Linked DNA regions of Nothobranchius furzeri. The protein of the gene in region 2 interacts with the protein of the main gene of each other region in a pairwise test. Links are inferred from orthologs where the notes say so. Each region holds a gene or a part of one and is shown on either strand. Other genes may lie near its edges. The genes, in order: ppp2r5a and dzip1.

Region 1 (8,666 bases), on a different chromosome or scaffold from region 2:
TAGCAGAAGATGAGCACCAGAGCCTGGACGCGCTGCGCGGCGGCTTTACTTCTTCAGCTGTATCGTAATGATGACTCATCAGTGCTGCAAATAGCTGCTTTAAACCAAGGGCTTTGAAAGCTGTTTACATTGCTAAGCGCTCACACATTTGTGTGTGTGTGAGCGTGTTCAATAAGCTGCCTCACAGCTAGCGCACAAGGCTCAAATATGTGTATAGTCAGCTGCAGCCTTTTCTTCAAAGATGTCTTCCTTAGATAAGACATTCATCTCACTGTCAGAAGCTGGATTTATACCACAGTGAAGGCAGCATAACCGCTGAGTCATGCAGTGACAGCAGTGACCACGAAACAAAACGTGTCTTTTTTTAACTCAGCGAGTGATTGATGATAGTCCTGTTGGCGCCTTTTATTCAAAAATAAAACATTTGAGCTCATTTGTTAGGTTTATGGTACAAACATAAATCTCTGATGCGTGACTGTGAGTTGTCGCTCAGGAGTGATGGCTGTTGCTTTGCCTCCATCCGTGCAGCTGCTGGAGCTGTTCGACAGCGAGGACCCGAGGGAGCGGGACGTCCTGAAGACCATCCTGCATCGGATTTATGGGAAGTTCCTGGGCCTGCGAGCCTTCATCAGGAAGCAGATCAACAACATCTTCTTGAGGTGAGTTTGTCCGTCGTGCATTCATTTTTACTTCTTCTTTAAAAGGTGTGGGTGTTTCAGGCGGTGTCTGATCGGCTCAGATTCATAAAAGTCACTATTACTGCAAACATTGTAAATGGTCTGGAACAAAAACTCATTTTCTTTATGGTATTAATCATCAGACCCAGGCAGTTTGTACTCTAATGGGTCAAACATCAGAAAACGGCAGCAACGCGTCTGGAGCCAGTAATACCTCACATCATCTGCTGTTTAATCTGTTTATTTAATTGCTTTTTGGCTTCTTGCTGCAGAAATGCTTTTCTCTAAACTCCACAACTCTTCCTACTTAAAAAAAAATTTTCTTACAACTATAGAAGTTATAGAAGAAGTGCTTTTATTTATTTATTTATTTATTTATTTATTTTTAAATGAGATTAGTCGGAACCATCGCCTGTTTGGTGTGAAGTTATAGAGCTTCTCATTCACTTGACCCCATTCCCCAGGTTTGTGTTATGAAAATGATTTTGTGAACAGATCCATCCTTTTTTCATATAAAGAAGATATTTTCAGGATTATACACGAAAAGGAAATGAAATTCTAAATCTGATTGAAACGATTAAAATAAACACACATTAACAGGAGCTGTTAGAATAATGTAAGGAGATTATTCTTAGCTCTGCGATGGACTGGCTCTCTGTCCAGGGTGTACCCCGCCTGATTGCCCGTTGACCGCTGGAGATAGGCACCAGCCCCCCCCCCCCGACCCAATGGATGGATGGCTTATTCTTAGCTTTTACAGCCTTTAATCTTTTATTTATTTTTTACTTTTTCAGGTTCATATATGAAACCGAACACTTTAACGGTGTTTCTGAACTGCTGGAGATTCTGGGAAGGTGCGTATTGGACTATGAAGTGTCATTTGTAGTCAGTGTCCTAATTTAACAGCAGTATTTCTGGTTATTTAGCCCATCAGGAGAGGAAAAAATGGGAGCTAATCTCTCAAAGTCAAATTTCATATTATTTATACATTTTTAAATGTTAAAGTTCCAAGCAAAATATTTAGTTTATAAACTAAATGATTATTTTACTAAATAGATATTTAATTTGGAGCTAAATATTTAGTTTACAAACTCCAAACTGAATATTTATTTTCCAAAATAAATACTTAGATCCCAGCTAAATATTAAGATCTGGCCCTAAAATAGATATTTTTGCTGGAATCTAAATATTTATTTAGCAAAATTAATATTCAGACTGGAGTTAAATATTTAGTTAGTAAACTAAATATTAATTTTACAAACTAAATATTTAGTTCTGACCTACATATTTAGTTTGTAAAATAAATATTTAATTCTAAATTAACTATTTAGCTTGCTAACTAAATATTTAGTTCGGATCTTTAATATTTATAAATGTGTGAATAATATGGTAAAATTGTACTTAGAAAAATTATATCCCATTATTTTCTCCTATGACAGTCTAAGGCCTAGTCCACATGTAGCCGGGTTTTTTTCAAAAAACGAATATCCGCCCCTCCAAAAACTTGCATCCACACCACCTCGTTTAAAAAAAAAAACTGTCCACAAGTACCCAGATAAATATGTTGTTAAGGACATGCCAGACCTGTAGGCGGCAGTACTTCCCCCATTCTTAACCTCGTCCTTCGTCTGTGGTCTTCCACAAGGAGCAGTAATTCCGCTTGCAAAAACAAACGAGCACAAAGCGCTTGGACAATTGATAAAGGAGCGCAGCTCTGAGGGCTTCCATGATGCCGGCTAGTGTAAACACAGGTCGCACACGTGATGTCAGCATTTTTTGTCGCGGAAAGTGACGATGCGGACCTTAAAACTCTGGTTTTGTCTGTCCACACGCAGACACCCAAAACGGAGAAAACGCAGATCTTCACTTTGGCCGGAGTTTTTAAAAAGATCCGTTTTCGTGTGAAAAAACTCCGTTTTCATGTGGATGACAGGCCAAAACGTAGAAAAATATCTACGTTTTGGCAGATCCCTGGCTACGTGTGGGCAGGGCCTAAATAACAGTATATTGCTGTTAAGTTCTGACTTTACAAATGGCACCTCACATTGGACTAACAACAAAAGTTATTTATGAAATATAGAAAAAAAAACATTTTCAGGTTACAGCTTCAGCAGAGTGAAGATATGAGGCTAAATGATTCATTCAATTAATGTTTTGAGCATCTTTTCAGTAATTAAATCTCCGCTTTACTGAAATTAGAAAATAAAAATGTCTGCTGTGGTTTGTTTGAATCATGTGTGTAATCTAGCAATCCCTCTTTGTTTATTTTCAGCATTATTAACGGGTTTGCCTTGCCTCTGAAGGCAGAACACAAGCAGTTCCTGATGAAGGTGCTCATCCCGTTACACACAGCTAAAGGACTGGTTCTTTTCCATGCACAGGTAGAAGAAAGTCAACTTCACAGCTGTTGTAATAAATGTTGGTATTATGGTGTCCCCTAGTGGATTAGACGTGTAATTGCATGTTATTATTCACTTCCTTCAGCTGGCTTACTGTGTGGTTCAGTTCTTGGAGAAAGATCCCACGCTTACAGCGCCGGTACTTTTTATATTCTTCCTTCCACTCAAATTACTGAGGAGAAACATCTGCTCTAGTTAGAAGCCATCAAACACAGAAGATAAATCCGGTTTTCTCTGCAGGTGATCCAGGGCCTGTTAAAGTTCTGGCCCAAAACCTGCAGCCAGAAAGAGGTACTCTACCTGTCTGTTTGTAAGCTGTTTGTTTCTGGCAGCATAAGTAACGACCGCTCCCACTCAGGTGATGTTCCTGGGGGAAATCGAAGAGATCCTGGATGTCATCGAGCCATCGCAGTTCAGAAAAATCCAGGAGCCGTTGTTCAAGCAGATCTCCAAGTGTGTGGCCAATCCACACTTTCAGGTGTGCTGAGATCTTAGTTTTTGCATATTTTTGAATATTTTAATTCATTTTATTATTTAATCACATCAAAATAAACTGCATTGTCTCAACCAAAAATCGCTTTTCAGCTGGAATGTATGTAATTTAGCAACATATCTAATTATAAATCATAAATAGTTCAGATTTCCAAAGTTAATCTGTGAGGAAAAACCTACGAACATCTAATATTTAGCCTGTCGTAGGGGCCTCTTTGAACGGCCTCAGTATGGAGAAGCAGAGATTGGTCAAACAAGCGAACTGACTGCAAATAACTGTAGAATAATGGGCTCGACACACGGGAGGCCACATCGCCTCTCCTCCATTCATTTTCAATGAGACATGCGCGACAAAGCAATAATCGCGGGTCTCCCTTCTGCTAAGCGAAACGCGAAAAACTTGCATGTTAACTTTTGCGCTCATGCACGTGTCGTGCACAGGCGACGCAGCAACACGATCCCAGAAAGTTGAAATATTTTCAACTTTTCATCGCTGTCACTCGGACGAGGACCAATCAACAGAGGTTTCATTCACTGACCAATGAGCGGACAGGATGCTCCGTACACCTCCGAGCAATCAGGAAGGAGAAGTTGATGCTTGCTGTGACGGATTTCCCAGAACTGTACAATATTTCTACTAAAAAATATAGAGATATTCACACAAAGGCTGCAGCGTGGGAAATTGTTGGTGCCAGAATTAAATGATGGTATTCTCCGTTTCTTTCTCTGGTTTGTAATATGGGATGAACCCATTCTCATGTTATTTTTTTATATAGTAAAATCAGAAGTAAGATAGATGTCACATACCTCTAGCAGCACCTTGTGAAACATCATATCTACCGCTTTTTTAACTCTGAACTGCTTAAATAACCTTAATTCCCTCCAACCTGACACAGCCAATCAAAACAACGGAAGATTCGAATTAGCCATGGAACAGAACGCGTCGACAACTTTGCCGCTGCCGCAGGTTGCCTCCCGTGTGTCAGGTAATAAAAGCGACGGATTTCGCTGATCGCGGTCGTTTGTCTTCTCCTGTGTGTCAAGCCCATGAAGGTTTGTAAATGGTATGTGCACAAACTTATGTTGGGATTTTGAGCTTGAAGTTGTTTTAAGGCTTATTTTGGTGGATTATATGTGATTCAGGAAGAAAAACTGCCAGCTAAACTAAGTGAATTAGCAGTTGTTGGTTCCTGAACAAGGAAAAATGGTGGATATTTCATCGCTGCATGGTAGCAGTGGACCAGAAAAGGGTTTTGATTTTTGACTTTCAGGTTACCCGATACCCTATTAAGCTGATTGTCTTGAATATTAGCCGATTCTGACAACCAGCCAGTTTAATTTTATGCGTCTCTTAATAGAAATTCACTAGTTGTCTGTGACTAGCCATTAGCTTATCAATCTGGTAAGAACTGATCTCCGGTTCTCCAAATTGAGCTTGTTGAAAAAGCTTCAGCGTGTATCTCATTAAATCTTCGTGATATTAAACTTTTTTGTGTCTGCATCTTCATTTGTTTTCTGCTCCATCCTCACAGGTATCAGAGCGTGCTCTGTACTTCTGGAATAACGAGTACATCGTCAGTCTCATTGAGGAACACATCGAGAACGTTCTTCCCATCATGTTTGACTGCCTGTTCACGATCTCTAAGGAGCACTGGAACCCGTAGGTTCTGTGACCGTTAATCCAGACCGGATCAGATCATGAAATACTGTATTTTCTGGAGTATAAGTCGCACCAGCCATAAAATGTATAATGAAGAAGAAAAAAACATATAAGTCACACTGGACTATAAGTCGCATTTTGGGGGGAAATTTTATAATTTTTCTTAGAAAATCTGAGACCAAGCATTTCACATTGCAAGACAAGTGCCGGTAACAATAACAGAATAAACAGTCAGGGCGCAGCAGCGCGCCACGGTCTCCAGCAGAGGATGGCGGTGTTTAAACCCTCCCAGCGGGGCAGAGGAGCTGAAACCTGGACTGGAGCCGGCCCGCAGCAGCGCGGTATACGCAATTTGGTATATAATTCACTTTGGTATACAAGTCGCAGGACCAGCCAGATTATGAAAAAAAGTGCGACTTATAGTCTGGAAAATATGGTAATTAAGTTTTCTGCAAAGTTCTGGAACTTGTCCCTAAAGTAAGTGTGTGTGTGTGTGTGTGTGTGTGTGTGTGTGTGTGTGTGTGTGTGTGTGTGTGTGTGTTTCAGGACCATCGTAGCTCTGATCTACAATGTCATGAAGGCCATGATGGAGATGAACTTGAACCTGTTCGACGAGCTGGCGACCTCGTATAAAGAAGACAAAATGCGGTGAGTTTTTAATCGAGGGAACATTTACCAAAACCACCTCAAATTCATTTTACAACAGACGCTTTAAAAGCTGTTGGAAAAACAAACATTTACAACCTTAGATGGAATCATTCCCATTTTTAAAGCGCTCTAATCAATTTTCCTTTTTTTTTTTTTTTTTTTGGACCAGTGCTTGGTGCTAAAGAACAAAACTTGGAATTTATTAAGTAGGAAATATCAGTTTATATAGAGTAAATATTGAAAACCATTCCACCAGCTAGGAAAGATGCCAGAACTCTTTCTACAGGGTCTCGGTGGGGTCTTAAAACGTCTTAAAGGCTTTGAAGTTAGGAATGTGGCAATAATATCTTTATAAGGTCTGTACAAAGTCTTGAATTTTGACAACTGGGTCTTTAAATTTGTGCTGTATGTAAATTCATTGAACTGTATTTGTCCTCTAAAGTTTCATTTGTCAACCACAATAATTCCTAAATAACGTAGCCTAAATAAAGAGCGGTGGAACCAATAATTGAGAACGCAGCGCAGCCTTGGGTCAAAACACTTCGAACACGTGACGTGTTCAGCTCCCGCGCTACAGCAGTGGTACAAAACGGTAAACGACACAGACCATACAGACCTCCAGCAGAAGAGAAACGTGGAAAATCTCAGCAGACCATGAGAAAGGTTGACTGACGCCTAGGGCTGGGTGCCAGAACTCTGGACCTCTTTGGGACTGAGTGGAAACATTCAGTAAGTGCCGAAATCAGAAAAAAGTATTAAAATGTCCCAACGTGCCACCGCGGGTCATATGGCTGATCCCGAGTCACGTTATGAGTGGAGGAGATGCGTCTCCTTTCAACAGCACTTCTCTGCAATTGGCGGATGCAAATCCTAAGAAACTCAAATGTTTGGGTTAGTGATGCACCGATAGATTACGATATCCGATATTATCATCACTGTTATGGCCGATAACCGATATTTGCTGATACCGATATGTACATTAATGCTTCTAAAATCAGCAGTTTGTGTATTGAATGAAAATTATTAAAGCTGAATTTACATTATTTTGTACCGTATTTTCCGGGCTATAAGTCGCACTTTCATAGTCTGGCCTGTCCTGCAATTTATACTCCGGAGCGACTTGTATACCAAATTATGAAGGCTATACCGCGCTGCTGCGGGCCGGCTCCGGACCAGGAATGAGCTCCCCTGCCCCACTGGGAATAAACAACACACAGCCATCACCTGCTGCAGCCTGTGGCGGGGAGCTGCGGACCGGCTCCGGCCCAAGAATGAGCTCCCCTGTCCTGCTGGGAGGGTTTGAAACACCGGCGTCCTTTGCTGGAGACCGTGGCGCGCTGCTGCGCCCTGGTTGTTTATTCTGTTATTGTTACTGGTACTTGTCTTGCAATGTGAAACACTTGGTCTCAGATTTTGTAAGAAAAATAATCAAATTCCCCCCCAAAATGTGACTTATATATGTATTCTTCTTCTTCTTCATTATACATTTTATGGCTGGTGTGACTTATACTCCGGAAAATACGGTACACACACCACACTCATTTACGCTTCTGAGATGATTACAATCACTGTCACCTTACTAAACAAATGCACATCACCCCCTTACCCTCTGAAACAGATAAGCAAATGTAAACAAGATGGGGGAAAAAAAATCTGTTGTTAAAATCGGTCCAGTTTTATCTATCAGGCTGATACCAATATATTAAAAAATGACTAAAATCAGCCAATACCGATATTGATGCCAATATATCGTGCATCCCTAGTTTGGGTGCATTTTTCCCAAAGTGAACGGCAGCTAAACGCAACAACAGCGAGAAGATTTGTACCACCAAAGCGCATTGTCGTGCAGGGCATCATCTTGAGATGAAACATAGAACGTCTTTGACTGCAAAAATCGTAAACTTGATTCCATCACCTTCCAAACCACTGGAGGAGTCTGAGGATGGAGGCTGATTAAAGCAGAAATGGGACATAAAACCAACTTAGCTGCTGTTTACCAGTGTTATAAATGCAGTTCAGCAGGGTTGTGATTACTGCTGTTACTGACATGAAGTGAAGCATGAAGGCTATTTTAGAAAAGAAAGAAAGGACAACGATCTTTTCTATAGCGCCTTTCAAGATAAAAATCATGAGCTGCGTCTCAAAAACCACAAAATTTAACATATAAAAAAGATTTTAGAAAATTATTAAAAATCTGTTAAAAATAAGCAAAAATAGACTCTTGTGATTAAAAAAATGCAAAGAAGGAGAGATCCTCGGGAAGGCGGAATAGGTGGAGAGGGCAGAATAAGGAGAGGCCGGTGATGAAGGTCACGCAAAAGCTTGAACAGGTGAGTCTTCAGCTGCTTTTTAAAGGAGACCACTGAGTCCACTGATCTCAGGCTCAAGGGGAGAGAGTTCCAGAGTCTGGGGGCCACAGCAGCAGATGATCTGTCACCTTTTGTCTTTAGCCTGGTGCTGCACAACCAGTAGGCTTTGATCACTGGACCTCAGGGACCTGCTGGGGGTGTAGGGACTAAGAAGATCACCAATGTATGATGGTGCTTGTCCGAGCACAGGCATTCTGAACCACCTGTAGACGGTTCAGGGAGGTTCTGCTCAGACACGTGAAAAGAGAGTTACAGTAGTCTAAGCGTGAGGAGATGAAGGTGTGGAGAACGGTCTCAAATTCAGAGCGGGACAGAATGGGACTCAGCTTAGCAACGTTCCTGAGATGGAAGAAGGAACACCTGCAATTGTCAATAATTTAACAGATTCTTCTGTTTTCTTCACGACCATCTAGGGAGCAGC
Region 2 (8,499 bases):
ACGTAGGAGCTGTTTCACTGCGTTAGCATGTAGCTAATGTCCCAAGCGGTACCAAAAATGATTTTTTCAAAAGATCTGACCAAAGAGGAGATTTGTGATTTCGCCATTTTAAACACTCCACGACAAAATCACTCCCACATCACGTGTGTTTACACTCGCTTGGTTTTACCACCTCTTTAGCCCCATTCCAGGAATCGTCGGGGAGGAGGAACTACGATGGCTCGGCCCTCTCCTTATAAAATCGACCCTTTCAGGACTTTCAGACGTCAGCAGCACATCACGACTGCTTCAGCACTGAGTGATGTCACTGATCAGCGCCAGAAGGCGTCCACGGACATTAGTAACACTGTTGAAGTTCGATGTGAATTAATCAGTTCGGGAGACGGGGAGAGTGGCTGTGTGACTTAAAAAGTTGCGTTCAATGATCAGAAAAAATGCCGTTTTTACAGGTGTTCCGTGTTGATTGCGTTGTGAGGGACTTCCACTGCGCTCTTTGTGCTGGGAGCTCAGAAATCACGATTTTTAAGCAGCATCAGTGCTGCTTCTTTTCTTTTCTTTTTTTTTTTTTTTTCCTCGCCAGCAACTCTTCCGGGTTTAAAAACGGCGGCTGTTTGCCGACGTCTGCTGATGTCATTACCAGCATGCGTTAACCAATCCCGCCCAGGCCGTTCCTGACCCTCCTTTGTTCAGATACTCTGCTGGTTCCTGAAATATCCAGGACCATGGACCTTTCAGTGGCCCGGTGCAGAGGACATGTGTCTCTGCCGTCTGTGTCCTTCTGACCACCTGCTCGTCTCCTCCAGGTCCAGCTCAAGTCTGCGGTGGAGGAGCTCCCGGGGAAGTTGGAGACGGTTCTGGCCGAGTCCGGCTCCAACTTCAGCGTTGGTCAGAGGCAGCTGGTGTGTCTGGCCAGAGCCGTCCTGAGGAAGAATCGTATCCTGATCATCGACGAGGCCACGGCCAACGTGGACCCCAGGTACCCCTGAGACATAACGCAGCAGGTCCTCAGAGGTCAGAGGTCACACGCTCAGCTGTTTGTTGTTTCTGCAGAACCGACGAGTTGATCCAGAAAACCATACGGGAAAAGTTCAGGGAATGCACCGTGCTCACCATCGCCCACCGCCTCAACACCATCATCGACAGCGACAGGATCCTGGTGGGTTCTCACCTACACACAGGTGGTTCCACTACGGTGGCTCTGAAGGGTCAAGCAGGTTTTCACAGGTTAAGGTGCTGAGAGTTTCAGCTTCATGAGTCGGGTCTGGTTCTCCTGGAACAGAGACCTGGCTGGTTTCCAGTGTGCAGATGTGACTGGTCTGACACTGGGCTCAGGGGGGTTAGGGTCAGATGAAACCCCAACAGAACCAGACTACAGATCGGTTCTGATGCTAGAACCAGTCTCTGCTGCTCTACCGTGACCGTGCCTGGTTCTGTTGCAGGTTCTGGATGCGGGGCAGATCCACGCCTACGCCGAGCCGTACGTCCTGCTGCAGGACGCCAGCAGCATCTTGTATAAAATGGTTCAGCAGACGGGCAAACAGGAGGCAGCGGCGCTGCTAGAAGCAGCTAAACAGGTGAGTCGTACTCTAGACGAAGCTCCGTCTGATTCTGTTAAACCAACTTTTGTCTGATTGACTTGTTTGTTTATTTTCTGCTTCAGGCGTACGAGAGCAGAAGTCATCCCAGCATTCCAAACGGACCCAAAGAAACGTCGGACGGGAACTTGGTTATCTTTGAAACGGCTCTATGAGCTCAGAGACTAAGTCGTGACTCTGTTAGGAGACTCCGGAGAGCGTGAGCTGGTTGGGTTCAGGTCCGGTTTCCGGTGAGATCACATATCCACCTCGGAGGGAGGACCGGGCCTGACAACGGGCCCAGCGGTGTTCCGACCGCTCAAACGTTTGCACACAAAGCCGCTGCTTGATTCTGTTAAGCTGAGAGAGCTTTGGGAACTCTGCTGCCACACCTGTTCAGGTGGAGCATTACTTATTTATCAGCTATGGTTCTGAAGAAACGGGTTTTTAATGGCTCCAGGATGTTCAGCTGTTTTAGTTCTGCATCAGTTTTTAGTGTGTTTGTGTCCAAAGTTGCCTTTTTCTGTTTCAGGCTGCAGATCCAGGTTTCAATGATGTAACGGCAAATGTTTGGGTTTTCAGTAAAAAGCTGTTTTACTTTTGTGTTCAATCAACGTTTATGACCTCTGAAACTCTCTCTCACACACACACACACACACACACACACACACACACACACACACACACACACAGACACTCGTCTGTCTTTCTGTCTTAGTAACCCTAACCAGTGCTGTTCTACTAACCCTAACCTTAACTAAAACTTAATTCACACCATACCTCTAAAATCAACTGGTAAGTTTAAAAAAAAGTGAGGATCAAAATCAAATCAAACTTTATTTAAAAGCACTTAATCATACGATGAATGCAACTCAAAGAGCTTAACAAATTAAAAAGGCCCCGCATACCCACATTCCCTCCCATCCCCAGAATTTAAAAACCCTGACAATAAAAAATGGTCCTCCGTGTGTAGTAAGTACAAGAACACTCTCTCTCTCACACTTGTGTGTTTGCACACACACACACCCTCTCACAGGCAGCGGCTAGTGCTAGCTGTCATTCAAATCCCACGTTAAACAGGTTTTTAGGATTTCCTTCTTTCACCTCCGGAATATTGCTAAGATTAGAAGCATCCTTTCCAGGAGTGATGCTGAAAAACTAGTTCATGCATTTATTACATCAAGACTGGATTACTGTAAATCATTACTCTCAGGAAGTCCACAGAATGTAGTTAAAAGTCTTCAGCTTGTCCAAAATGCTGCAGCTAGAGTTCTGATGAGAACTGAAAAGAGAGATCATATTCAATTCAATTCAAAAATACTTTATTAATCCCAGAGGGAAATTGATTTCTCTCCTGTCGTAGCTTCCCTACATTGGCTACCTGTTAAATTCAGAATAGATTTTAAGATCCTTCTTCTCACATACAAAGCTCTTAATAATCAAGCTCCATCATACATCAGTGACCTGATTGTTCCATACGTTCCTAACCGAGCACTTCGCTCTCAGACTGCAGGTCTACTGGTGGTTCCCAGAATATCTAAAATTAGGATGGGAGGCAGATCTTTTAGTTATCAGGCTCCTCTCCTGTGGAACCAGCTCCCAGCTTTAGTCCGTGAGGCAGTCACTTTGTCTACTTTTAAGACCAGGCTTAAAACATTTTCATTTGATAGGGCCTATGGTTAAAATCTGATGTTAGCCTAGATCTGGACAAGTGGGGGAGTAGAGGGAGGTGGAGAGTACAGTCGGTAAAGACGGCTCCCTTGCCCTGCCTCCAACATGCCTCCATCTAAAAAGGCTAGGTTATCCAGAGTTATCTCTGTCATTATGCTGCTATAGGCTTAGATGGCTGGAGGACACACTGACTTTCCACGCTCTACTACCTTCTACCACTACTCTCTAATTGCATCATTAGCTGTTAACTAAGTTTTTCTCCCCAGAAGAAGCTGCAGTGGTGTTCTGCTGAGCTGTGGTGGCTTCATGGAGGGGGCCATCAGCTAGCAAACTGCTGCTAACCACTTAAACATTCTCCCTCTCCTGATTAAAACATTTTACTAGGCCTGAAACGATAACAAATATTTTTGGACGATATATTGTCCAACAAATCATTGACGATAAACGATATTATTGTCGGCATGATCAAGACCAAAATAACCACTCATGTAATATTACTATATCATAATAATGCCCTGATTTTATCTACAAAAATAAGTCAGAACCCTGAAATCAAAATTCAACAAAGATCTTTTTTATTGCTTGAATAAATATTTTCTTTGAGTTGAAGCAATAAAAATGTACAAAATTTGACACAAGTAGAAAAACAGAGATCCCTAATAACAGAACAATGCACATGAAACACTGAATCTATGACAAGCAAAGAGTTGGCACAAGGCAAAAAATAAAGCTGACAACAAAGTGTGACGTTGATAGAGACAGGTGCGGCTCTGGACCCTGTGGGGTGTATCGCTGGTCTGGTTCAGGAGTTAGAAGCTGAGGTCTCTGTGTTTGTGCTACATCATCACATCAGGTGTGTTATTGCGTTAGTACTCTGAGTCGCTGATGTCACTGAGGGAACAAAGGCTGCTCTTCAGGGTGCTTCCTGTTCCAGCTTCGGTCACACCTGCAGGAAACACACCTAGTTTAGGTTTGTTCTAAGGGTGTAGCTGTGTGAGACAGGAAGTGCTTCTTACCTGAGCTGGGTCCCTTTCCTGTGGAGGTTCCCCACACGCTGGTGCTAGGTGAGTCCAGGCTCTTCCTCAAGGGTCCAGAACCACGGAGAGTTGGTTTAGTCACTTCCTGTCTGTCCTCCACATCTGTAATCTGTTAACAACACGTTGGACTGAAAGATTCATCCTTTCCTGATGGAAGCTGTGATTTCACTCTCCTGACTGACTCAGGATCACTTTTATTAACTGTTTTACTTAAAAAAAGGTGAATCAAATTGATATCGCAATGTTTGCCAGAAAGTTCACAATTACATTTTTTAGTGAAACTGTTGAGTCTATCAAGTCTGAACCATTAAACCCAGTTAGAGACCCAGTCTTCTCACCAGTAGCTCCTGAACCTCATCCCTCCTCCCAGGCAGGACGCTAACGCCCCCTGCTGGCTTCTTCACCGCTCTCTCCGCAAACTGCTGCTCCATTTTTCGAGCCAAGTCACTGATTTGAACTAAAAGACATGAAAACGAACAAGTCACATTAGCATGCGAGGTGTGCTCTGGGTTTGTGTCAGACTTAGAACCGGTTTGGGATTTGATGTTGGGCCGTTTCTGAACTTTTCTTATTTTAAGTGAGATTTGACCTCATCAGTTAAAGCCCGACTACCAATAAGCTGAGACTCCCCAGAAGGGATAATACATCGGTTTAGCTAAATCTCTCAAGTATGAGCCAGACTTAACCTACGGGATGAAATTGTAGAGAAAAATGAACAATAATACATGGAGAACTGGCTCTAAGAGGCATGATGTCAATCTACTGACAGATATCAGATTAGATACAGAAAGGAAGTAGGGCTAATTTCAGTTTAGGCTCCAAATGATCACAAAAACAGTATCATCTATACATTTTTAAAGGCCCTTTATGATGAACAATTTCGATAGAAACCGTGTTCCCCAGCCCAGATGCGGGTCACCAGGGCTCCCCTCTGGAGGTGCAGCATGTTGACGAGTGCCCAGTAGCCATGGAGCTTGGTCACACACAGCCAGAAGAGGAAACATAGGTCCCCCTTCCTATGGTCTCAAGACTCGTGGGAGGGGCCAAAGGGGTAGGGCGCATTGTGTGATGGTGGCCGAAGGTGGGAACCGTGGCGGTCTGATCCTCGGCTACAGAAGCTAGCTCTCGGTACGTGTAATGCCACCTCTATGGTGGGGGAGGAGCCTGAGTTGGTGTGTGGTTGAGAGGTTCCAGTTACATCAATCAGTCAATACTTTATTAATCCCAGAGGGAAATTAAGAGTTTCATTACACACAATTCAGAGATCAGACATACATGGGCAAGACACGTGACAAGAATTGGTGACTGTGGTCATTCGCAACCCGAGTCGCGCTACCTTAATAGAGATAAGAGGGTAACATGAGGATTGGTTCAGGTGGAGGGAAAAAAAGGCACTTCAGAGTTACCCTCCCACCAAGAGGGTAGCTTTGCTCTGCAAAAAAAACAGGGGGGGGGGGAGGAATCCCGTTCCCCCCAGCGAGAGCAGCCATCTACGGCGCTCATCTACTGTACAGTCACAGGTGGGAGGGAGATCTTGGGAGAAGCGAAGAGCACATTGACTCCTGCAGGTTGATGACCTCGCCAGGCTGAAGGTGTGTGTGTGTGTGTGGGGGGGGGGGGGGGGGGGGGGGGGGGGTTCACAGCATCTGTCTGCATTACTTCGTGGGGGTTTTAGTTGCTTGCAGCTCAAGGCTACCAGGGCATCAGATTCAGATAAGAATTTGTTTGGGTCAGGCTGAGATAATTTTCCTCTCTGCCTTCAGTCTTTAAGCTGATCATTTCCAGTCCTTCAGTGAAGCCAATTTTGGGTTTTTAAACCTGTCCATACCGTCCGGTGACTCTCTGAGATGACATCCATTTTGCGCACTAATACCGGTATCGCAGCTAGAACATTGTCCAGCTTACGATTCACCTCGAGTAACGTCCCAGTCTGAGAAGTCTCTACTCAGACGGTGCTTTCCGTGGGTACGGGTCGCCCTCCAATCGCTCCCGTCTTCCCAAATTTCCAGAAAACCAGATATCCTCCCACTCCAATCAGGAGAAATCCAGTGATCATCAGACCAAATATCCACACGTCTTCGATATCCTCAATGGACAGCTGGGAGAGGCACATGATCTTCCACTTCTTCCAGGAATCCAAAATATATCCCACCGGGTGTGTCCCCTGTGGACATGTGGGAGCCCCCTGCTCCGTTCTCATTGTTGAAAAAATCTTATCGATCGCATTGAATGACCATTTTATCAAATCCATGGTTAGTAAAAATAGGGTTTTTCAGAAGAAATGCAGAGAAGCGCTCTGTGGGCAGACAGGACAAAGAGCCTTGGGAAAAAAAGATAAGGGAGCGAAAGAGGGAAGCGTCTGTACTCCTCGAGTGCCTTAAAGAAAATACATAGAGTGTCACCTCAATGCATGGCTCTGGCTCTAGAACCAGTTTCCTTGAGAGGCGTTGGACTCTCCACCGCTCTGAAACTGCTCCCACTGAGAGGCGCCGATCCGGGGTGGGCATACTTGTTGGCTGTTTGTTGGGGTTTAACCCGGTGAAGAAGAGCGTAGCCTCCCTCCACCTGCGTGTGGGAGGACGGGTCCCGACTGTTGTCTGTGCGACTACCCCCCTTCCTGTTTGGAGCCCAAGGAGTGGGTGCTGGAGAGCGCTCCATCTGGGAACTCCCTCGTTCTGATGGGAGACCTTGCGTATGGGCAATGACAGTGAGACCTGGAGGGGTGTGGTTGGGGTGAACGACCCCCGTGACCTGAACCTGAGCGGTGCTTTGTTATTGGACTTCTGTGCTCATCATGGATCGTCCATGATGAACTGTGGTGGCTGTTGAATTTAACAGGTGTTGTGCTGAAAAGAGCATACCAGCCGAGATTTGCATGAGCTGTTGTGGGAAGGTGCACATGAATACCGAGGTGATTTAATGAATACGTACAATTAACAAGTTTCGTTTCCATTAGCTTCCTTACAAAATGATGGTTTATGAGCAGATAAATGAAATAATGAATTTATTTGAAAAAAAAAAAATCTTTAAAAAATTTATAATTTCGAGTCACATTCCTGTTTTTTAAACCAACAGCAAAATTCAAGCAGTCAGCGGAAAAACTATAAAAATACTACCTAAACATTAGTCTCTAATGTATTTAGATAAAACGATGCCAAAACTAAAGTTTTTAAAGGGACTTTACGGACTTTTGACTTTTTATGCTCGCGATTGCCCCCTCAGGCCAAAAGCGTAACGGCAGCTTCAATAGGAGGCTCGTGCACGAGGCGCACATGCTGTACGTGCACACTCCTTAATGAAAATAACAGCTGAGACAGTCCCGTGTGTGTGTGTGTGTGTGTGTGTGTGTGTGTGTGTGGCCCGGAGGACAGGAGAACACACAGCTAATTAATTAAATGTGGTTCTGTAGCTTTCTCTTCAGCACAGCCGACAAAGGTTTATGATGGGTCAGTCCTCCTGCATGCTCAGATCATTCCCTTCCCTTGCTTGAAAAATTGTTCCAAAATGAAAGTTGAACCCACATCTTTTTTATCTGTGAATTCAATGCCGTTCGGCGAGTCTCAAATAAAAATTTGGGCATCTTACTGTAAAAAAATACAACATTAATGTAAAAAAGAAACTCTAAATGAACTATGTTCACATCCAGAATCAAACCCAGGTCTTCCATATGGGAGTCAGACATCTTACAAGGTGAGCTACACTCTAGTAACATTCACAGAACGTCCCAACCTCACACACCAGCTCAGGCTCCCATCCCACCAGACAGGTACCGTTATCTGAACCGAGAGCCAGCTGATCAGACGGCCAAGGTCACGTTGCATCTGACCCCTTTGGCCCCTCCCACAAGTGGTGAGCCCATGGAAAGGATGGCCCTCGTGTCTTCGGGTTACTAACCTTTATCAGATCTTTTTTTGTTCATATTTCCGTTCAGGTCTTTGAAACCCTGCATCTGTTTTGGGTCGATCTCCTGCAGCTCGCTGACGTCTGACCAGTCATCGTCCTCTTCCTCGCTCTCCATCTTTGTGACGGCTGTCTGGATTGCAGCTCCCGCTGATTGTTTGGAGGAGGACTGGAAGGCTGCAGCGCTCTTGGACTGGACTGGACCGGTTTTACTTGCTGTAATCTGGACTGGCGTGGCCTGAAATAATCTGGACGCCGGCAACTTGCTCTTTTGAGGAGGCTCCTCCTCCGAGTCGGTCTCTTCTTCAGATTCCTCA

Evidence for each region.
Region 1: the proteins of dzip1 (region 2) and ppp2r5a interact in binary tests that used the Homo sapiens proteins (3 or more experiments, as listed by UniProt). The link is inferred for Nothobranchius furzeri from reciprocal best matches to the Homo sapiens genes DZIP1 and PPP2R5A.

Annotation. Positions count from the first base shown.
Region 1 is NC_091742.1:7,931,809-7,940,474, forward strand, and holds part of ppp2r5a (serine/threonine-protein phosphatase 2A 56 kDa regulatory subunit alpha isoform), read left to right. Parts: intron 1-528; coding exon 529-659; intron 660-1,471; coding exon 1,472-1,531; intron 1,532-2,949; coding exon 2,950-3,058; intron 3,059-3,161; coding exon 3,162-3,215; intron 3,216-3,316; coding exon 3,317-3,367; intron 3,368-3,434; coding exon 3,435-3,554; intron 3,555-5,100; coding exon 5,101-5,228; intron 5,229-5,774; coding exon 5,775-5,876; intron 5,877-8,658; coding exon 8,659-8,666. UniProt on the Homo sapiens protein: The B regulatory subunit might modulate substrate selectivity and catalytic activity, and might also direct the localization of the catalytic enzyme to a particular subcellular compartment.
Region 2 is NC_091754.1:57,281,164-57,289,662, forward strand, and holds the end of dzip1 (cilium assembly protein DZIP1), read right to left. Parts: coding exon 8,177-8,499; intron 4,740-8,176; coding exon 4,621-4,739; intron 4,392-4,620; coding exon 4,262-4,391; intron 4,192-4,261; coding exon 4,112-4,191; 3' UTR 3,798-4,111; downstream 1-3,797. Other genes in the region: abcc4 (ATP-binding cassette sub-family C member 4), read left to right, coding at 804-976, 1,051-1,156, 1,440-1,574, 1,661-1,750. UniProt on the Homo sapiens protein: Molecular adapter that recruits protein complexes required for cilium assembly and function to the cilium basal body.